Linked DNA regions of Arabidopsis thaliana. The protein of the gene in region 2 purifies or fractionates together with the protein of the main gene of each other region. This does not show direct contact. Each region holds a gene or a part of one and is shown on either strand. Other genes may lie near its edges.

Region 1 (7,152 bases), on a different chromosome or scaffold from region 2:
CGTAATAAATCAATTTGGGCGGTCGTATATAGGTGTAGGAGTTGGAAGGGGTTTACCATCAGGAGGGTTAGGACTTAGGAGATAATTTTTGTTAGACAAAAATTATATTATGGATGTTGAAAATTTCATATATATTAGGTATATATTTTCTTATCCTAGGATTTTTTACTTCTTATTGACTTTTTTTTTTATAATCAAAAGCTATAACTTTGTGTATTTTTTTTTCTTTTCTAACCACCCTTATTATAAGTTCTATCCCTACTAGCTAGTATACCTAAAAGAATTGATAAGAAATGTAATAATTATAGGTTGAGGTACTACTTTGGTTATAATACGAATGTAAATTAATTAACTAAACAAAAGCTGGAAAACAAAAGCACAAATGATCGCAACGAACGTGTAACCACACAATCTATGCGTTATATAACTAAAATAAGTGTTTGTGTATGTGCCCAAAGTTTTCGTCTTTACATTTCAAATGGAAGAATCATTAGGAACATAATAGTTCCTTCTTTTTTAACATTATCTATACAAAACAACTTGGCCATATATATCTTTTTAAGCATTATCTATTATCTCTACAAAAAATTCCATCAAGTATTTGTTCATTTCCTAATGTTAAAATTTCTTTTGTGTCCTTACTTAAGTTTGAGATGTAATGTGAAAATTATATCGCAAATTAATCTATATGATCGATTTTCTTGGTTTCGAAGAATTGATCGATAAGGCTTAAGACACTGATGTTTGATATCGGTATCATCCCTCTTCTAATTATTATTATTATTTTATTGTTTTGGTCAAACCCTCTTCTAATTATTTAAGCTACTAATTAATATTGGTTATTCATGTATCAAATTAACACCAACAATCATTCTATATCTTATTGTGAAAGAAAAAAGGACTTGTAGTGGAAGTAATATTCATGCTAGTACTGATATTGTCAGCCGATGTTAGTGATAATCCGGACGATGGAAGATCCATTATACAAGAAAATATTATATATTACACCTAATAAAGATGTCTTAAACTCCCGGAAAAAAAACAAAATCTGATGATAAGAAAATAGTATTACCACAAGAAGTCGTTGCTTATGTTGCTCTGAGCGTGCGGATTTGGCATCATTAACGAGTCAAAAGTTAAAATTTGTTATATAGTTGAAACATATGTGGGAATGGTGATGATGAAATGATGATGGTGATGGTAATAAACTAACCATTTGTTTAAGGCGTATGAATTTTAAAACTTTTACTGCTAAATTAATTATCTTGCAAGAGATTCTTAAGAATTGGAGTATTTGCTAAGAAATGGCAATCGTTATAATAGATGTTTTGGATTCTACTATTTGTTCCACCAAGATAGTTTTTTCAAGTTCATATACAAATTTATATGATAATATAACATATTGTCATTTACTTATAAAGCGTATATCTATGTTGCCATTTGACTTCACAATTTTTTAAAGCAGAACCTACGTGCAAATTTTTTTTTGTCAACACGTAAAAAGTATTAATTAATTTGATCAAATCGGTGTATATTTTAGTTTTTTCAATGGAGATGGTCAGATGGGTCAATTGTTTGCTAGTGACCACAGATCGTGTACAACGGGTACTGTCGGTACGTGCATGCATTGAGTCCGAAACTTGGTAATCAAAATGGACTGTCTTTCACGCGTATAGAAAAAAATAACAATGTTGTAAACATCATAATTAATGATATTTTATTTCTGTCACATGTTATTTGATTTTTTTTTTTTTTTTTTTCATTTTTCCAACATTAAATCCATTGATGATAACTATAGGATAATCTATGCATTGAAGTTCCTCGAAATCCACAAGACGAACTTCTCATTTCCTTAATTGATTCTAGTCATGCATACAAATTAACATTCGGTGATAGATGCAAGATATACTATTTTAATCATTAGTTTCCTATGGTTTGGTTTGGAACATATAGTAAATAAAAACCATAAAGAATAATGATGAAGAAGAGTCCATAGGGGTAGGTTTCAATTATAGATAAGGTATAAGCCTAGTGTTGAAAGATTAAGACAGCTAACTGTATAAAAGCTTAATAATTAGGTTTGTAAACTCAACATGTATCAGTCATTATCATTTAAAAGTTGGTAGGTAAAAAAATACACGAAATAATCATCATGGTCAGCTTCATTTTCATAAGTAAGATATCACTAAGAGATGGTAGTTAAAAGAGGTAAAAAAGTTGTTGGTAAGACAGTGATACAGGCAAAAATTGTGGTCTCATTCAACACGGGAAAAAAGTTGCTGTCTTACGCATGTACTGCAGTAGGAAACAGAGATAGACAAAAATGTGTTTTTATCATATCCAGTTTCTGTTGCTGCAGAGTTTTAACAAAACAAAATCACCTTAATAAAATATTAGCGTATAGAAAACATTCAGTTATAGATTCTAATGGAAAAATAAAAGTCAAGCTCATTACACTACAAAATCATTTCATCTTCCACATATTGAAAGCTGTTGATGCAGAGCCAAGAGTGGTCTGTTGAGTCACTCAGAAGACACCTTCATCTTTTTGGCAACAGTCTCTTCCTTATGCTTAAGCTTAGCGTCTTTCCGCTCTCTCTTCGATCCCTTAGATTTATCGAACAGTTTCATTTCTTTCAGCTGCACAAAGATCGAAAACATATCAGTTTGGGATGATAATAAAAATAATAATCTCCAGATTCGGATATTGGCGTTTATCGCTTTCTTTCTTACCTTCTGATCAGGCATATAAATCTTCCCAGTCTTCCCTAGTACTGCATCTTGATCAACGTTTTTCTCCTGTAGAAGAAGAGATTGATTGATTAGTCATCTGTCTCTTTCGATTTTAAGAGAAATATTAGACTTTTATGTTGTTTAGTACCTTCTTCTTAGGCTTATCCTTGGATGTTCTCATTGCTTCTTTCATTAAGCTATCGTTAGGAAGACGATTACGCCTGATAACCAAGTCCATGGATGGACCGACTTCAACAAGCTCCATTCTCGGAACAATGGATCCTGACTTTTTAAGCTTCAATGCGCAATGAGTAAGGAAAACCTTTGTTGGGGATATAGCTGAACATACGTAAGCGCGGTCTAAACCAGTAAGATTTAGATTATCCACAACCTGCAGACATATACAAATTCTGTTATAAGCCAAATCCATATAGAATCAGAATAAAATTGAAACTGGTTATGGAATTAGCTGCAAAAGTAGGTCATAAGAATCAAACACTTCACCTCGCCACGAAAAAGATCAGTGAGGACTTCTTTGAGATGCTTAAGCTCTGATACATTCTCAAAACCTTCACCAATAAAGCAAATGAAAGGCTTTGTTCCTTCATGAGGTGCGAATTTCTTGTCATACGAAAACGCCCGCAAGGATTTAAAGTTCTCAATCCCAACTTCTATAAGATCATAGACTTGGTGATCATACATTCTCCCAAGTACAAGATTGTCAGGTCGTTTCTTCGTGTGAGAACCATACTGCAATATAAAAACAATCACCAATGTTAGAACTCGCATCAAAGTTAATTTGCCAATACACCTTTCCAAATGACTTCTTAAGGCCTGTGATAACATCAGCCAATCATACCAATTTCCACCATAAATAAATACACATAGACTAACAAGACAGAAGCAGAGATGCCTTAGAATGAATCTAGATCACAGGATAGATCATCTTAATAACATTTTGTTCTATCTAGCAGTTCATAGCTAAGTTAAGAGGAGAATCAAAGTTGCAACACCATAAAACCAAGATGCAACAGCTGCCAAAGCTTATGAACTTACCACAAAAATGCTACAATCTGTTTTCTGAGAGAAGAACTCTAATGAAGTTTCACCTCCACTCTCGAAAGGCCTAATATTCTCATTCCTCCTTGAATATCTGATGGCACCTCCCTTCTTCAAACGGTAGAGTTCCGTCATTACAGAGCTAAGTGTAGCACTCGTCTTTGTTCCATGAAGTATCAACGTCTTCTTCCCAGTTTCAACCTACAAATTCCAAAAACAACCAATTCAGATACAAAGTTTGCAACTTTCAATCGATTCTTTGATAAATTTATCGACAAATAGAAAACCCATGAGTCTCATAGATGTCAAAACAACATTGAAGACAGCTCTCAACATGATTCACTTCTCGGTTTTAAGAAGGACGAAGGAGAAAAAGAAGAGAACTTTACCAACTTAGGAGCTCGGCTTTCGAGAACACGCTTGGCTTTGCCAGTCTTCGGAGTTCGTATTTCCATCATGACTCTGTTAAATCGCCGGAAAGTTTCACAAGCGACGGCTCCGAAAGAAGAGAGAAAGGTTTTTCGATTGATTGATATGGAGTCTAGGGTTTTAGTGCCTCCTCACAATTGGAAGCAACTTTAAGAGAATTCTAATATGACCCCTAACCTTATAAGTCTGTCCTAAATCACCCCACAGTTTTTTATTGACTATAAAACCCAATGTTTCACAAGGTCCATGAACTGTTTAAACTATACGGGCTCAAATTAAACAATGACAGCCCATGAACTTTTACACACAAAAAAGACATTTCATTGCGGTACAAAAAATTTACAAATTTTTATTTATGTTCACTTTTATATCCATGATGATGAAACTATACAAAACGAATAGAGAACATGAACATATTCCAAATTCGTTTCCATGTTATTATTCGAGTTGTTAAGGAGAAGAAACAACAAAACATTTTGATTGATGCTTCGTGTGAGATTTACAAGTTTCTCCCAATGGTACGATCAATGATCTTCACGCCTGACATTGTGCAATCGTAACTTGCTTCCCTGTTTTATAGAGAAGAAGGAAGATGCATGTAAGAGATATTTACATGGAACTGTCTTCTCCTCCACAACCACTTGCTTTTCATCCTCAAAAGGAAAAAAACTGGTCACTCACTACTGAATCAGACAGACAAAGTATCTCCAACTTAGATTCACCACAGAGATCTCAACCTAATAGTCTAGACCTCAAGATATTATAGTAAGGCATACCTTGCATAGACTTCTCGAGGTCTTGTAATTGTCTGATGAAACCAGCATTAGGACTTGCCACGGGTCTTTTGCTTTTAACATGTTGCAATGCTTGAGCTAAAGTCATACCGTGTTTCTTCATGAGGTAAGCAACAACTATAGTGACACTGCAAGTAAAAGGGACAAACCATCCAGGCTAAATATGTACTTAGTTTTGAATACTATCCAGCAAACAAGGCGAAAACCGCTAGATATTGAAGGAAGCAAACAAAACTGACCTCCGTGATTTGCCAACAAAGCAATGAACAAGAACACTACCGCCTTGTCTCTTGGCTTCATCAATGAAATCAACACACTCATCGAAGTACATTTCTAGATTTGTATCTTCCTTATCCACGACTATCACATAGAAAAACAATCAAACAAGCAATTCCATCCCAAAATCAAAAACATATTCTCTCTTCAACTAGATAACAAAGTGAAACCTTTAATAAGTTTATACCTCGAACAACCTTGTAAACAAAGTCATCAGGATGAGCTGGTCTCAACGAACTAGCAACAGTCAAAATATGTGTAACATTGTAAGATTTCAAAACATTCTTATTACTAGCTGCTGCAACAGATCCAAGATAAAGACCCTGAAAAAGTCAAATTCAACAAAAGGTTTGATCTTTGATAATGAATCATTGGTCATTTGGTTGGTAGAAAAAACCTATGAGTATTAGTAGTAGTAGTAACCTGTTCAATAAGGGAAGGGACATTGTCGTCTCTATAGGTACGAGCAACTTTAATAACACGAACAAGAGCTTGTATCTGATTCTTCACCTTTTCATTATACTTTTCTATTCCTGGTAACGAAGAAGATGACGAAGAAGAAGAAGGTGATCCTCTGTCTCTAGAACTCCTGATTTCATCGAATCAGAAAAAAGAAGAAGAGAGTTTACATATCAAGATCGTGATCATAGCAGCAAGAATCAAAATCAAAATCAAAATCCAGGTCACCGAAATAATGGAATCCGATTCTGATGAATGATCTTATAACCGAACAACGGTGAATCGAGAATTACGATTACAACGACGGAGTAGTGATTGGTTTAAGATCAAAAGAAGAATTCGATTATCAAGGAAGAAGAACTTACATTGGAAAAGAAGGAATACGAATTCGCCAAAGGAGAAAGAGATTTACAAAAAAAAAAAAACGAATCTTTGAAATGGGTTAAAGAGGAAATTGCAACTGCATGGTTCTCCAGGTTTTTTGGGGGAAGGAGGAGGAGGAGAGGGAAGGATGTGTTCAAAGAGGGCCAAATAGTAAAATTTCCTTTCTATCAGAAAAATCAGAAATGTTTTAACTTATTAGCTCAGTCCTTATATTATACTCAAAAATTTGTGTTTGGGATTTGTGCTTTGTAGGCTTGGTTTCCTGCTATTAGGCCCCCTGGATTAGTAAGAAGTAGTGTACTTGGCTGAAACTGAGGCAACGGTGTTGTGAATATGTCAGCAAAACTGTACAGAGGCAGAGATGTATCGAGTGATGATGATGTTGTTGTTAAAGACTGTTTGTTATTATGACGTAGTAGTAATCTACTTTAATGTTTTTTTCGAGGGCAGTAGAGCACAAATCTACTTCAATATAGTCCATCGAAGTTCGATATTTTACTTCGATAGACTATCTAATCAAAGCCGGTCTCGACGAGTTTCTCGGTTTCCATTTTGGTACGGTCTTTCCCATTCCTAGAAATTGTGCATGAACATGAAGTACTTCCTTGCTCACTTGATGCTGTCTTAGGCTTGTTTAGAAATAGGACCCTAATTGCTTTAAGAAATCTGACTAAAAAGTAATGGACAATGTACAAATGTACCCTCAGCACACCCTCTAAGCCCGGTCCTGGCACATATCGACGAGTTTGTCGGTTTCATTTTGGTATGGTTTGGTTTACCCACTCCTTGCTCACTTGTCTTAGGCTTGTTTAGAATTTGGGCTTATGGGCTTGGTTTGCTACGTCACCGTATACGTAACTTCGTCACCTCAAAAACTATGCGAGAAAGAGTGACTTAAGAAGCAACAAAAAGATAAACCAAAAACTATACGTTCTTCTTGTATGATGATGACGACATTGACTTTGAAACAGTGTTATCTAAAAACGATTTGATCGGAAATATCTAACAACGATTCAAG
Region 2 (6,731 bases):
TAAAAAATGAGTGTGAGTTTGATGACACTACCTGATATTACCGATTTACCCTCGATTTGAACTTAAATTACACTTCATGAAACGACGGCGTACCTTGAAACCCTAAACCTTGCAGATCAACTTCAATCACCATTTTCATTTCAAACAGAGAGAGCTCTGAGGAAATCAGAATCTGAAAATGATCAGATTCGCGAGACCAAAACCTATAATTGACTCAGTGAGTTACAATCTTCTCCAGAAATGTTACGCTAGTGGAACCCCCAAAGGAAAATCGAAGCTGAAGACAGGCCAATCATTGAAACGCAACAAACTCACAATCAAAAAAGGCGGTGGAAACGGCGGTGGCAGAGGTGGTGATGAGGTGGATAAGGGAAAAGGAAGAATCTCAGATCAATGCATAAACGCTCCTTGTCCTGTTCGTTACCTGAGACCTAAGGAAAGAGAGCGAGAAGCGAGACGAGAGAAGCTAGGGCTAATCAGTAAAGCGAGGCAAAAAGAGATTGATTTTCAGAAGAAAGGTGGATCCTTTACGATGGGAGTTACTACTGCGCCGATGAGGATTGGGACTCCAGGATTGGATTACATTTCGTTAGGGATTTTTACGGAAGATGAGTTACCAAAGTATAAGGTTACAGTGGAGGATGGGATTAGACTTGCGAAAGAGTATAGTAGAGTGCTTATGAGAGAGCATAGAGCGAGACGTGTAGCGGAGATTAGTTTGATGAAGATGAGGAACGCTGCGGTTGAGGCATTGCCGGAGAATTTGAAGAAGGCGGCTTTAGTGCGTGATTTGACTCCGTTTCCGGTGAGTCGAGGTACGGCTACGCTTACTCCACCTATTGAAGGGTATTTGGAGAGGATTATGAATGCTGCGGCTAGGAAGAGCTCTGGTAAAGAGAAGTTGAGATGATCTTGTTAAGGTTAGAGGAATTTGTCTTTGCGTCATTGGTTTTCTCTTGTTTTATTAGTTGTGTTGATTGGATTTCGATCAATGGATATAACTTTGAGACATTTGTCTTTATTTTTGTGATCTACTTGAAATAAAATGGTCACTGGCAGTTGCTACTATATGATAGAATATTAGTTGAAGCTTGAAAGTTTAATCTTTTTCTACTTTATATTGTTTCATATCGGCCTTCTGAGAGGTGAAGTTGTCTAGGATGTAAATGGAATCTTGTTAAACCTCTTTTGTATCTCTTTCCTTGATCGTGTTTGCCTGTTTGCATACTTCTTTCAAATCTTCATTTTTCAGTATTATGTGTATGAACACTGTACACTCATACATTTAGGATTTGTCTCTTCATATATTCTAACCTTTAGGAAGGCCACTGGGTCATGATCAGCTCAAACTTGGTATAACTTTTTATCCTTACCAAAACCATATTCCTAGATAAGAACTGCAGACTATCTTGGAATCTACAGTTCTGCACCAAGATTACAACTGTTTAATCAATATGGGAGTTGAGGTTTGTCCTCTGTGAGCTTTGTGTTGGAAGTTCAGCAGAATGTTATGTAGGAAAGGATGTCCTGCATCTGCTTGTGCTTCTTCATTCAAATGCATAGTTTCTGGGTATTTTCTTCAAGCTCTCCATATCATTTTCTGCATCTTGTTACCCGGTCCAGTAGAGTGCAATGGCAAGAGTCCTAAAGCTACAAAGACCACGATTCTCCAAGGATCATCATAGTTTGAAAGCTGAGGTAGCTAGTCTAGAGAGAATCGTAGTCATTAGACTTCATCTAGGGACCTCTTGGCTTCTATGTTTCCTTAGTTCACTAGCTATTTTTGTAGACCTATTGAGTCCAAATCTCTGGTAAAATAATCAAGTTTGTGTATCTGAGTTCTTAAACCACAAATTTTTATCAATTCTAGTATTCTTTAGGATCTTTTGAATACCACTAAAACAAAGTTCCTCTATGCGTAAAGATCAGATTGTATATGTTGTTTGATCAATAAAACAAGACTTTTAAGCATAAAGCAGGAATGGGACTTTCCGATTTTGTTTAATTAGAGCCTCTATATGTTCTCTTTCTTCCCTTCCATGTCAAAAATATAGCTGTAGTACCTCTACATAACTGAAGTTCTAAAATAAGTTGCAATCTAAATTGAGATCCCTTCATGAAAGCCTTAAGGGATGTATTGCAACACCGTTCTGCGCAGATTTTAAGCAACCCCATCTTCCGAGCCGCGGTTCCTGCCATATACCCAAAGTTACAGTTAAGATTGGCATTCACAGAGACGAATATATATGTCTGGTTAAAGGAAAATGTGTACCTGTCCAACACCAGCGATCAGAAACCGACCAGATTTTGCAAAAGCTAAAGAGTTCACAAACCCAGGCTGCAAAAAGGTCATAAGCATTGGATGTCAGTAACAGATGCAACACACAAATAGCAATAAGAGCCGACCTAGGAAAACAAACTTACAAGTGGAAGCTCGTATAAAGGTTGTATAGCACTAGATCCACTTTCAACACCCCATAAACGCACACAACCATTACCAGCTCCCGATGCAGCAAGCTCGCTACCTCTACAGACAGCAACTGAACTGACCCAAGAACATGCTGGTGTACAGTTATGGTTAACAGAATCATGATCAGCTATCACGTGGTGAGCATTGTTAACGATAAACACTGGTTTCTTTTTCAAAATGGACCAAAGTGCAATACTTCCATTATCTGATCCGGACAAAAACTCATCACTATTAACAAAACAGCAGCACTCAAAATTTGATTCGGAAGCTCGATAGATCAACCGAGTAGACTCGGGAACCTGATAGGAAACAAAAATCGTGCTTAGATATAGACAAACAAATCAAACAGACCACAATACCTACCTTATATAACTGCATTGTTCTATCGCGTCCAACACTGAGAACACGCTCCCTCCCTAGAGCATCAATGGATAGAAGTTCAGACTGGTGTCCAAAACATGATTCTATATATGTTCTATGTTCTGCATTCCATATACTTAATGTTCCATCATATGAACCAGAAAAGAGTTCTGCAGTTCCTTCTCTAAAGCATAGACTAGAAACAATGCCACAGTGACCTGTAAAAGCCTGCAATAGATACATATCTAATAAAAGAGGCTGAGAGCAAGACACAATGAACAGAATCCTTAACTTGATTATTTTTAAGCTTGTTTACCTGGACATGCTCTCGTGTTCGGATATCCCACAAATGAACATGGCAATCAACTCCTCCAGTCGCTAAATACCGGCCATCAGAGCTAACAGCTAATGCTAGAGATTGTTTGTTATGTCTTGTATACCAAGATTCCTGGAACTTTAACCCGTGAGACTTCAAAACTTCATCGCTTGGCCATTTGTACTCATCACTTTTACCAGAAGATACATCCCAATGCAGAATAGTACCGTCTTTCGAAACTGAGAACCCTCTTGAATCATCATCTGATAGAGCTACTCCTGTAACAGAATGTTGGTGTTTGACTATAACACGAAACTTATCGCTACTCTGTAGATCTTGAACCCTGACACGGTAAAGTTTAATCAGAGTATCAGTACAAACAATCTCCAAGCCATTATATAAAAACTAATGTAAACTAATTCCTAAAATTCCATAAAACCTAAATCACAAGCATTTTTGAAGTCTATGAATACGTAGTTAAACAAGTCCTGAGGAGTGGTTTCAAATATAAAAACCTAGCTCATGGACTCAAATATGAAAAATAACAACTTTCTTCTTCATTACCTCAATGCATTGGCTCTCCGAACACGACCACTCTTCTCGAGCTGTTCCTGCATTAGAGTCTTTGCCACAAGCGAATCTCTAAAATCATCATCTTCCTCGTTATCTTCTTCATGCTCTCTCTGTTTCGCCTCTTCGATTCTATTCAAAGTATCCTCCGCCAGTCTCTTTCGTTTCTCGCCTACCGTCTCATGAGCAAACTCATCCTCCACCTCCTCACCAACCTTCCCTTCCTCTTCAGATTCTACAGATTCGATATCATCATCATCATCGTAATTGAATTTTCTCCGCTTCTCTGTCTCTTCCTCTAAGAAAGGATCATGATCGATGGAACTCTTTTTCCCTCTTCTCTTCGCCCCAATACCTTTCTTCTTCTCGAGTTTCATTCTTCTCTCCCTCTCTATCACACACAAGCGAGCGAGAGAGAACGCAGGGTTTACTGGCGATGGAGAAAAAAATACAGAGTTTGTTTTCTTCTTTGTTCTGTCTTAAATAAGAAATCCACAAATTGCCCTAACTTTCCCCGCAAACAATACTAGGTTAATAGGTTTACTTCATGATGGGCCTAACCCACAAATTAATCAACTTACTCATAAACAAATTAAATGGAAAAAAGTATCTTGTGAATTCATAAATTAAAACGTTGGTAACTCGAATAAGTTGATTTTTGGTTTCAAATACGACATACTTTTGTCACACATCTATTTTACTTGAGAAGGATTAAACCAGACCTTAATTATCATGTTTGATGCAAATGTGAAGAAAATCTATTAACATATTGAAAATCTAAACAAACCAAAGACATTACAATTCTTGAGATCAGAACACTAATTAACCAAACGAAGAATCTGACAACTATTAATAAACCCGAATCCAAAGCCAAACACTTTAACAATATATTAAAACCAACTAGTGAGCTTAAGTTGCAGAACAAGAATTATCAGCAACAACACCACCTTCCTCAGCTTTCTGCAATGCCTGCTTCTCCTTCAACGTCGCCTTAGCTGTATCATACGTTGCGTGCAACCCAAACAAGACGTAATATATGAGCAGAATACCTGTCCAGATTGCAAACCTAACGAACGATTTTGTATCGATGGAACCAAGAAGGAAGATATTAATAGCGATGGAAGCAGAAGGCAACCACGGAACCAAAGGAACACCCCAAATTTTCGGAGCCCTAGCTTGCGGTACAAGAAACTTCATGGCAACCGTAGACAGAAACCATATAGGAACCGTAATGCAATACCCAATCCAACCTTCTTCTTCCAAAGCCCAATAAACAGCAGTCGCGGTAGAGGACGCAAGAATCAAACCTAAGAACACTAAAAACTTGTTACGGTCACGGGTCGATGTTTCTCCGGTGACGTAATATCTTCTAACGAGAAGAGCCACAGCAACGAACATGAAGATGAAAAGTGTGGAAACAGACAAGAGATCGGCTAAAATTTTCAGTTTTGTGAAGAATGCTATGAGAGCTGTCGCGGCAAGCATTACCACGGTCGCGTTAATTGGTGTTCCGGTCTTTGCGTTGACTTGAGCTAGCCATGGAGGCATCATATGGGCTCGGGCTATGTGTGTCATGTACCTAGCTTGACCAATGGCCCCAACTAACAAAACCGTCGTCATACCTAAACATTTCAAAGATTAGTATAGATTTTAGACTATACTAAATGTAAACGCAAACGCAAATAAATAATGAAGGCCAAAATCTTTGGCATACCTTTAAGAGCCCCAAAGGCGACAATGTACTTAGCCCAATCCCATCCAACGGCAGAAAACGCAACCGAGAATGGCGCGTCCGGATCAATCTGTTGATACGGCTGCATAAGACACAACGTAACCGCCATGAGACAATAACAAACCGTAGTAACCACCATCGATCCAACAAGACCAATAGGAATATCTCTCCCTGGATTCTTTGTCTCCTCAGCCATCGTTGAAACCGCATCAAATCCAATATAGGCAAAGAAAAGAACCGCGGCGGATTTAAACACTCCTCTAACGCCGTAAGGAGTGAAATCGCTGTAGTTTTTCACATCGGCTTTAGTAAATCCGGCGATGATAACAAAGAGAATCACGACCATGTGGATTATAGAAGCAATGTAATTGAATCTTGAGGAGCCTTTTGTGCCAACGACAGCTAAAACACAAATGATGGCGCAAACGCCGACGGCTATTGGATCTAAGTGGCTATAGTCTTCGCCGAGTTTGTGAACTATGATGCGGAAGTCTTCAGGTTTATGGTTTAAGAGAGTGGCGAAGTAAGAGGTCCACGATCGAGCCACGGCAGCTCCACCGACAACGTATTCGAGGATTATGTTTCCCGCGGCGATGAAGGCCATGAAGTCGCCGAGCTCCACTCTTAAGTAGGCAAAAGAACCGCCTAAACATTGACTCAATGGTTATGTAAATTAAATAGTAAATATGAAAGAAATTACATAATGTTTTTACAAATAATTGTGGGCGAAGTAATGTATGCGTTTGAGTTTCTATTTACGATAATATTCAATTTGAGTTCGAAACAACTTGGAAGTAAAAAATAATTTTGAAAATGACTCCACTTTCTACTTTCTAGGACCCAAACATAATCTCTAGTGGGATTTCACTACAAGTTATTTCGAAAATGAAAAATATATTTTTGAGTAGTAATACTATATTAAATTAATTTACTTTTGAACTGTCAATAAAGGCAATTTACAAGCTTGACTTATATAGTTGGGACTTACGTATATAAGGTCATTGACGTAAGTAATCATCTGTTTAGCTTAATTTCTTTGTCTGTATGTAAAAGTCTTCTAGGTAGACCCCATGACTAAAATTGTGAAATTACAAAGTTTTAAATACAATTTTAAAAGTAGCTAACAATCTAATAAATGGCAACAAATATTTTGCAACTCTAAGATAATAATCAAATCATTCGATTGTTTAATTTGTGATTTGATAGTATTGTAGCTACTATCAAATTTAAAAGGAAAAAAACGGAGGATAAATAGTAGATTGATACTAGATAGTGTGAACGAC
Region 3 (9,152 bases), 2.1 Mb from region 2:
TCCCCACACCCTAACCTCTTCAAGAGCCTAAAATGGTTCAACCCCAATACGCCATGTTTCGTTCGGACAGCTTGAATTGCTTCCCATCTCACGTCATTCGCCTTGTGAGGCTTGTTGTTACCACTAAAGCTGCTACATGTGCTCTCATCACTGATATCACTGCTTGTGCTTGGTCTACATGTGTTACTCTTCCCGCTCTGATCAGACTTTTCATTAAATTTAACTTCACCTCCAGTTTTACTGTCGCTGCTTGGAGCAAAAGACAAAGTTGAAGATACTTGATCTGCCAAAGTGTTTACTGAGACACTTTGACTGGAATAAGATGTTTCCGGGGTTTCCTTATCGCCCTTTTCCTTCTTATTTTCTGGGAGAACTCCAGAACCATACTTCGAGGCCATGAACGGTTACCTTACCTATCTACTTAACACTCAAGATTCAAGGAGCTGCTTTTGACTCCAGTAACCACTATTGTCACGGATCCCGTCAGATAGTGACCTGAGCTCTGCAGTGAGCAAAACATAGCGTCAGAGAAGAAGACGGCTTATTAGAATAAAAAAGCTTAAAACACTTCAAATTCAGATAACAGAAGGCTCGTTTAGAACTAGAATCATGGGAAGATCAATAAACAAGAGCTCTCATTCATTTCTCCCCGTAATGAAGAAACATCCTTTAACATAGAGCTGAGCAGAAAAACACTAAAAAGTTGCTATTTTTTAAAAACAGAAGATACCATCAGAGCTGATGCCACAACTCAATCATTGCAGTATGAATCATAAGATCGAGCTCAAAGAAATCAAATTAAGAAAAATAACTGAGTCAAAGAAAAAATAATTTTCATATAGAGAACAAGTCGAAAGAAAGAAGCTTTAGCTCAACTTGGTTACGGATCTCGAGCTCAAATCTCGTTGACAATCAATTGAGAGACATACATTTACTCAACCCAAAGTAATTCACTACTTCCACATCAGGGAACACTCTCTGATTCTCCAATTAACCAAAATTAGCATAAACCCTAATCACACATTTCATGCAAAGTAGACTTTTTTTTTTTGCTAAGTTTAAACAGATCTCAGGAAAGTAAGAACAATCAAGCAAAGCTCTTCTGGATCTATGCAGACTCGTAGAAACAAAAGAAATGAAATTGAGGAGAAATACTTCATAAATCGTTACCTTAATGTATATAGCTTTTGGATTGAAAGATCTTGTCACAATTTTTGGTCAGGAATTAAGCAGAGAAGAAGAAAAGGGATACCAAAGAGAAAGGAGATGACTTTCATTAAGAATCAGTAAAGAGAGATTGAGAAAGCTCATCACCTTCCTTCCATGGAAATGAAGAGAGAGAGAGAGATGAATCAGAGAGTAAGAAATGAGAGAGTTGGGTCTACCATGAAAAGAGAGGAAAGAGTTGGTCAAAGCTAAAGTTTTCGACTTTTTTATTTAGGGCTTTTCAATTCTTTTTTCCTGTATTTTTCTTACAACTGGAAGACAAAAAGCTTTCGAGTTCCCAAAAAAAAAGACAAAGCTTTCAAGGATGCTTATCGTAATGCCTTGTACTTTGCGGTAATAATTATTTCCATGTTTAGTTTGTTCAAAAACATAGTTATTTCCATGCAAATTTTCTTTTCAAATTATATGCAGAAATATATTTTTTGATTTCCTATTTTCAATGGTTTATTGAGATTTTGTTATTTATCCATACCATAAGTCCACAAAATTACTTACCATTTTGGTTAGCAAGAAATTAAAATGAACTCATTTGCTTTTAAAAGCTGTATCTTTTGGGTCCTGCAAAGGAATCTCTTTTCTATAATCTTGGATATCCAAATATAAAGTGAATACAGCAATTATACGATGTTATATGTGATGCATGTGAGTTTGTGTATACAAGGCTACAAGCACTAGCAGTTATAATATGGGCTTATAATCTAAAAATAGAAACAAGAAGATTAGTGTGAGAGAAGTAAATGTAAGGTCCCCAACGGAGGAGAATCTGATAAAGATGGATGAAGAAGAGTTGAATTGGATTGTCATGTTTCTCCAACACTCAAGTCCCACTTCAGAAAACCTTCACATCTCTCCCTAACAATGACCAGCTCACTCCCAATTCCCTTATTTTTTCGTCAAATCAATACTATGAGAAATTCTATCCTTATGTGGTGGTATGGACCCAACCCTCCAAGATTTATGTATTTTATTAAATAATTGCTAGGAGCAGAAAAATGAATAGCCTTTCAAACACACTTGTGAGAGAAAGTAGGGACTCGTTTTTGTTTTCAATAAATTTTACAACTCCAATTGAAAACGGAAAATAGAAACAGCCTCTCACAAAAATCAAGTTATGTGATTGATACAAAACTTTTGGACATGTAACAGCTAATCCATGTGGGTGTCACCCTTTCTTTACGCAGTAAATTAATCAAAACTAGAAAGCCATTGTATAGATACCTTGGCCTCAGCCAATGAAGCCTCTTTTCTTGTGTCCTTCGCCATGGCCAGAACACCGAAATATTCTACTCTTCAAGATGCATCACGATCTCAAACCTATTCTTATCCCCTGTGCTTTGGCGTCTCCTTAGCATTCTCTCTCATGGTTTTTCTTTTTTCTTCCCTGCAACATATTCAACCATTTATGGGTAAATGGGTGTATGATACAACAATGTACATAAGAAGGTTTTCTCTTTTGTCTGTCAAGGAAACACTTAGTTTTTTTACCTAGCTTGAGCAATCTCATTCTTCCATTGTGATCTCTTCTTCTTTTGCTTCCTGGGTTCTTCCACATTACCACTTTCGGTTTTTGTGTTTTTATTCCTTTTGCCTTTGTGAATTTCCTTTGACCTTGGATTTTTTCGTTTGTTCGTGTCTTCTTTAGTGTTACTCTCTCTCTTGGGTTGCCCACTGGCAACAGGTGGCTTCTCCAACTCCTCAATGGCCTCAGCTTTCTCATCATCATCATCACTAGACGACACCTGAGCTTGCTCCATTGTTACAGCTGGCTCATCATTTCCTGAAGGCTGCATTGCATTGCTCATCTTCTTCAGCTGCAGAACAAAGAAAGGAAAAAGTAAATACCTCGTTGGTTTAATCACTATTCATATTTTATAAAACATCTGTTTTGCAGGGAAAAGCTATTCATAGGTTAACCAAGTGTATACCTTTGCAACAAAGAATCCATCCATGTTGTGCACGTGAGGATAGAAACGTCTAGTCTTCTCTAAAGAAGGGTGGAACCGGTGTTCTCTAAAACTGCTAAATCTGAAGATATGCAGCAAAACATTTGTGTTCAGATGACGAATCATGAAATTTTTCAATGCAGATGAAAATGTATATTACCCTGGTCGGCCAAAATCAAGTCCACATGGAACGAGTTTAACATCCCTGTTTTTCAGAGCATAATCGATGACAGCTTCGTTCTGCATAATTTGTTGTACAAATAGAACTAGTGAGAAAACATGAAGATGCCAGGAAAAAAAAATAGTGGAACAGAAAAAGTATGGTTCACCAACCTCGGGTATCATAACTGAACATGTTGAGTAAACAATATATCCACCGGTTTTGGAATTGGCGTCTACCAAATCAATCGCACCAAGTATAAGTTGCTATGCGCAAGAAAAGAAGAGAGTATGGTTAGCATTATATACCAAATGCATCCTTCTTTATATACTCACAGTAAGAGGGTATAAACGGCGTTTATGCCATTTTCATGTTTAAATATTTGTCTTGGATGTAAAGAATGTTTTAGTTGATATTGTTTAAGGCAACAACATACCTTTTGCAAATGGGCAAATTTCTTTATGTCATCAGCACTTTTGGAAGTTTTAACTGATTCGTCTTTTGATATAACCTGCATTGTGTAGAAGTGACATTAAACTATGAACAGAGAAATTCACTTAAAAGACTATAAGAGTGTATGGTCCAAACTTTCTTACTCCAGTTCCACTGCAGGGAGCATCCAGCAATACTCTATCAACCGAGCTCTGACCTAAAACTTTGGTTAGCTGAAAGGCAAAGAAGATGAGATAAATAAAAAATGCAAGGGAATAATAGAGAAGCTGTCTTTAAAACTTTGTTATTTGGTGCAATTACAGTCTTGCCAGTAATTTTTCAATTTGGTTGAGCTGATGGTTTACAACCAGTTTGCAATATTTAACATCCTCAAGCATGTACCGTCAACAGAAGAATAAAGGTTCAAGAAACTAACCTCTCGTCCGTCATAGTTACAAACTATGGTATTTGTCACTCCCATGCGATGTAGATTGGCAGAAAGTGACTTAAGCCTAGGTACTTTCATCTCGTTTGCATATATTATGCCTGGTTATATAAACATTATAACATTAGATATAACTGACTAAAATTATGGGGCTGGAGGAATAAGGAACCAATATATGTATACCTGTATTTTTCATTAGTGCAGCAACATATGTTGTTTTACCACCAGGGGCAGCACTGCAGTGGTATAAGAACTTGTTACAGATATCACAATATACTAGTTGCATATGTCTCACATCACGGGACAATCAAATTGGCTTTTCCGTTTTGACAGCACTTATCATCACAACAATCATAACAAATGATACATATCACAAGCTACACTTGAATATCAGATTAAGGTACTGCTTGGTCATCATATATATATATATATATTTATCTGAGACACAAATATAGTGCATTTATGTAAGATAATGACTTACGCCATGTCCACAACTCGTTCTTTTTCTCGAGGAGCAAGGGCCATCACTGGCAAGAACGAACTAGCACTTTGCAACTGAAAATGTACCAAGAACATACTTAAGTAAACAATAAGAAAACCCATAAAGTGTGAGCCGAAAAGTACAAAAAAAATCAGAAAATCAAGTACCATATAGAATCCTGCCAAATATTCAGGAGTTGCACCAATCGGAACTTGTGAATCATAAACGATAAGTCCAACCTACAAATATTATGCCAGGATCAACTAAAGATGGTCCACAAAAATGTTTTCGCAAATAAAATGGAAGACAATCTGCAAATACTACTTACTTTTGACCACTTGCTTAATGGGTCTAGATTAACTCCTCTGTTCAAAAGTATATCAGCCAGATCCCGTCTTCGAGTCTTAACCAAAACAAACATCAGCATTAATTGAAATATCACAACAGCTGAGAAATACTTTGTTTTAGACACTCCAATGCACAACCAAGTTCACCTTAAGAGTGTTAGTACGTATAGATGTAGGTCTTTTCTTTTCAAAAGCTTCGATTAGTTCCATGAGTTCAACAACAGGAAACATCTGCCAGAAGATTACAACTAAAGAGTATAAGTAACAGAATTCCTACACATAACTCTAGATCAAAGCAAGCATAAAGAGTAAAGTCAGAGACTAGGGAATAACCTCAATTAAAGTTCCAATAAGAAACTCATTATAGCCGTAGTAAGAACTAAGATCAGCTTTAAGCTGTCCAACATAATCATTCCTCTCGTGCTTGTCTCCTTTTGGCTTCAAGTCCTTAAAATTCGACAGGATTCTAACAACTGAAACACAAATTAGTACCATTAAACTAAGAACCGAGAGGATGATTCCTTAGGAGATTTAAAACAATCATAATAATAACATTACACCAGAATTCTTAAAAAGGAATAAAATTTGAAAATGTTACTCACTCTCTCTTATCCTCATTTGCAAGCTAGGAAGATCTGGCGGCCGACGTGCCTCTTCTTCAAGTTCCTAAACAATGTAGAGTAATAGAAAAGATTAGCTAACAAATAGCTCCAGAGATCCAGAATATGAACAAATCCACAATTAAGTAAAGGAAAATGTAACCTTTTGGGTTGGTAGCTGAAACTCATCAGGTTTCTCCTTAATGTTCATCTTGAATTCATCGTCTGCATCTTGTACCTCCTTTTTACGTTTTCTATCAATAGCTCTAGATTTCCTCTCGAGTTTGGATCCACCAGAGTCAGAATCCAAATCAGAACCCATGGTTACCTCCTCATTATCGCTACCATCGAGAAAGTCTTCAGCTAAGGGTTCTGCATCCTCATCATCATCATCATCATCATCATCATCATCATCATCATCATCACTATCATTGTTTCCTTCTTCATCACCATCAGAGAACAAATCAGAACCTGATTCAGACCCTTCATCAGACTGTTCATTCTCTTCTTCTTCTTCTTCCTCGTCTGTGGAAACTTCAGGCTTTTTGAGGGGCTTCTTCTCCGAAATACATTTCCTCTGCTTCTTCAATGGAGGCTTCTGGGTTTTAGCCGCCTTCTTCAGCGGAGACGCCTTAGTCTGCTTATTCAGTGGCGGAGTCTGTGAATTGGAACCCTTCTTCTTGTTACGCGTAAGAGCAGCCATGGATACGGTTTTTACAACTTAGGGTTTATCGCCGTGAGGGTTTAGCAGAATTGCAGAGGTAGGAGAAGCAAGGTCGAAGAATCTAGTAAAGATGGAGGATGAGCAAAGTTGCTTAATGGGCTTGATTGATACTAACTAATGGGCCTGACTAATACTAACTAATGGGCTGTAGTCGAACTTATTTTTTGTCAGCCTAATAAATTATCGAGCCACTGAATTCATAAAACCTATAAAAACATAATTCAATAAGTTATTTGATGTATGCGTTTAGGGGTTTCAAAATGGGTAATCCAACTCAACTCTTAATCAAATAAGTTTAGATGTTAAATGAGTTGGGTCAACCCATAACTCATTTAATTTGATGGATTGAATTGTTAAATGGGTTAACCCATTTAAATAATAATTTAATTAATTATTATTATAAAACAATAATAAATAATTAATATTATTAATTCATTATCATCAAACTTAAAATATTTACGGATTCCACTTTTTACGGGTTTACGTTTTTGGCGGAAAAATCACAGGTTTATGTTTTTGGCGAGAAAATTATAGGTTTACGTTTTTGGCAGGAAAATTACGGGTTTATGTTTTTGGTGGGAAAATTACGGGTTTACATTTTTGACAGGAAAATCTCGGGTTTACGTTTTTGGCGGGAAAATCACGGGTTAACGTTTTTGGCGGGAAAATTACGAGTTTACGTTTTTGGCGGGAAAATTACGGATTTACGTTTTTGGCGGGAAAATTATGAGTTTACGTTTTGGCGGGAAAATAACGGATTTACGTTTTTGGCGGGAAAATCACGGGTTTACGTTTTTGGCGGGAAATTACGAGTTTACGTTTTTGGCGGGAAAATTACGGATTTGCGTTTTTGGCTGGAAAATTACGAGTTTACGTTTTTGGCGGGAAAATTATGGATTTACGTTTTTGGCGGGAAAATCACGGGTTTATCTTTTTAGTGAAAAATTACGAGTTTACTTTTTATCAATTTCATCGCTTGTATATTTAAGAAATTTGGAAAAATATTAATTTTATTAAATTGGTTTAAATGTGTTGGTTAAACTTAAATTGGCATTGGTTTAGAAATTTTAGTTGGTTTAATTCAATTTTACAAAACTTGATGGGTTAATTGGGTAAACCATTGAAATCATTAACCATTACAACCCAACTCATTTTACTCATCAAACCAATTGACTCATCAACTCATTTGACCCATTAACTCATTTGAGTCAAAATTTTCAACTCATTAGAGTTCATGGGTTGAATTGAGTTGAGTTAACCCATGAATTTTAACCCATTTTGACATCTCTACCTGCGTTACATGCTCAGCCCATGCATGATTGAAGCTAGTGATGTTGATAACAAAAACTGAAATGAATCACGTAATTTTCTAAAATCAGTTCTAAACGATTCTGTTTCTTCTTTAAGAATGAAAACACGAATTTATTTTTGGTGAATTTTAATTCCAACTACCAAAAATAATTTGATTGATTGGTTGAAATTTCTTGTAAAATTGTGTTAGAATTTGAAATATTATCATTTGCAGGATATATATGTAGTTTGGCTGTCAAAAAAAAATGTATTATGTTTTTGGTGAAGTTGCAAGTTATTTATAACACATAGAACCTAGTCATAGACGTTGACATGAAACAGATTGAATAAGACAGTGTGTGTCTTAGAAACAGAAACTTGAATAAAAGTGGAAATATGCGTTTCATATTGTATAACCGATAGATTATGGAAACAATGATGCATATTGGCAATCAAAACAAAAACAACGATACATACAATTGCGACCACAAGCAAGACCGAAAGACACACCTGTGACGCGCGTCCAACGCACAAAGAGTCCGAGTCAAATTCGGAGTCTATTAAGCGGTGCACCAGCAAGTATACACGTACGAACCAATTACATGCATAATGCATTAAGACTGTCACTATCGCTAAAAATTTTGTTTTTAGCTGCTGCAAGTGATCGCCAATTAAATTGCAACTCTTACCTCACAAAATTGTCTCTTGCTAGTTCAATTATTTCCTTTTTATTATCAACATCCGCTAATTATTGTAATGCTCAATTTCTTTTTGTAATTTACTCTCTATCCTAATCTTTTACTTTGAATGAGAGTGTATGTATAAACTATTTTTGATAAGTTCTTTCTCTTTTTTCTATATAGAAAGTCTACTTTCTGTAAACTGATTTTTGTCTCTTTCAAACCAGAGAAGTAAAGTGAATAATTGAAAGCTATAGACGGAATACACTACAAATTGCTAGATCCAGTATCTCTAAATGATTAAATGCCAAAAATTGCTATATTTATGATCTGTTTATTCTTTTAGTTTAAGTACCTATTTCAAAAACATACCAGATGTAGAATCTACATTCATACTCGAAATCAAGATTTTAGCTTTTTACCCCGAAGTGAAAGTTTTTTTTCCACTGAAAGTGAATCAACAACTTTAGTTCTAATGAGTTCAGTAAACTTGTCGATATTAAGAAATTCGTCGAGAAATCATGATTCTTTCAGTCTTCACTCCAATACATATTAGAGGAAATACTCTCTTGTATCTTCTCTAATACTAGTACATCCTCTCAAACATCTTAACTAAAACAGAGGTCTAACTTTTTCCTTTTTCCTGGAAAAATTGCAGAGAAAATTTATTTTTAATGTCAGGTCATTAACACAGGTTGCTTACAAGAACATTACTTCTACAGCAAGTTATTCAGAACTCTGGACATTATCACCCGAGTCGATCGACGTCAGGGCCGCCTAACAGAAAATGGTAGGCTCTCTCGAAGTATCCAAGCCTCCAGAGC

The links. The genes of interacting proteins can lie anywhere in the genome.
Region 1: the proteins of EMB2271 (region 2) and AT3G23620 fractionate together in Arabidopsis thaliana (co-fractionation; one large-scale study listed by BioGRID). This does not show direct contact.
Region 3: the proteins of EMB2271 (region 2) and AT4G26600 fractionate together in Arabidopsis thaliana (co-fractionation; one large-scale study listed by BioGRID). This does not show direct contact.

Annotation. Positions count from the first base shown.
Region 1 is NC_003074.8:8,477,245-8,484,396, reverse strand, and holds AT3G23620 (Ribosomal RNA processing Brix domain protein), read right to left. Parts: upstream 4,373-7,152; 5' UTR 4,251-4,372; coding exon 4,182-4,250; intron 3,994-4,181; coding exon 3,790-3,993; intron 3,484-3,789; coding exon 3,238-3,483; intron 3,125-3,237; coding exon 2,882-3,124; intron 2,800-2,881; coding exon 2,734-2,799; intron 2,641-2,733; coding exon 2,524-2,640; 3' UTR 2,175-2,523; downstream 1-2,174. Other genes in the region: DSPTP1 (dual specificity protein phosphatase 1), read right to left, coding at 4,746-4,861, 4,998-5,143, 5,255-5,375, 5,479-5,614, 5,715-5,880, 6,116-6,117.
Region 2 is NC_003075.7:11,271,670-11,278,400, reverse strand, and holds EMB2271 (Transducin/WD40 repeat-like superfamily protein), read right to left. Parts: upstream 4,106-6,731; 5' UTR 4,094-4,105; coding exon 3,711-4,093; intron 3,490-3,710; coding exon 3,147-3,489; intron 3,059-3,146; coding exon 2,834-3,058; intron 2,770-2,833; coding exon 2,425-2,769; intron 2,339-2,424; coding exon 2,273-2,338; intron 2,193-2,272; coding exon 2,115-2,192; 3' UTR 2,102-2,114; downstream 1-2,101. Other genes in the region: AT4G21140 (copper ion-binding protein), read left to right, coding at 179-910; AAT1 (amino acid transporter 1), read right to left, coding at 4,626-5,338, 5,431-6,093. UniProt on the Arabidopsis thaliana protein: Component of a nucleolar small nuclear ribonucleoprotein particle (snoRNP) thought to participate in the processing and modification of pre-ribosomal RNA. Essential for embryogenesis. May function during late embryogenesis.
Region 3 is NC_003075.7:13,416,814-13,425,965, reverse strand, and holds AT4G26600 (S-adenosyl-L-methionine-dependent methyltransferases superfamily protein), read right to left. Parts: upstream 6,406-9,152; 5' UTR 6,338-6,405; coding exon 5,798-6,337; intron 5,702-5,797; coding exon 5,638-5,701; intron 5,509-5,637; coding exon 5,369-5,508; intron 5,267-5,368; coding exon 5,183-5,266; intron 5,092-5,182; coding exon 5,017-5,091; intron 4,928-5,016; coding exon 4,856-4,927; intron 4,763-4,855; coding exon 4,689-4,762; intron 4,444-4,688; coding exon 4,391-4,443; intron 4,309-4,390; coding exon 4,199-4,308; intron 3,996-4,198; coding exon 3,927-3,995; intron 3,842-3,926; coding exon 3,767-3,841; intron 3,597-3,766; coding exon 3,331-3,596; coding exon of another isoform or gene 3,327-3,330; exon of another isoform or gene 3,253-3,326; coding exon 3,153-3,252; coding exon of another isoform or gene 3,126-3,152; exon of another isoform or gene 3,039-3,125; coding exon 2,713-3,038; coding exon of another isoform or gene 2,709-2,712; exon of another isoform or gene 2,609-2,708; coding exon 2,548-2,608; 3' UTR 2,175-2,547; downstream 1-2,174. Other genes in the region: D6PKL1 (D6 protein kinase like 1), read right to left, coding at 1-398; OPT5 (oligopeptide transporter 5), read left to right, coding at 9,116-9,152. UniProt on the Arabidopsis thaliana protein: Involved in ribosomal large subunit assembly. S-adenosyl-L-methionine-dependent methyltransferase that probably methylates the C(5) position of cytosine 1586 (m5C1586) in mitochondrial 26S rRNA.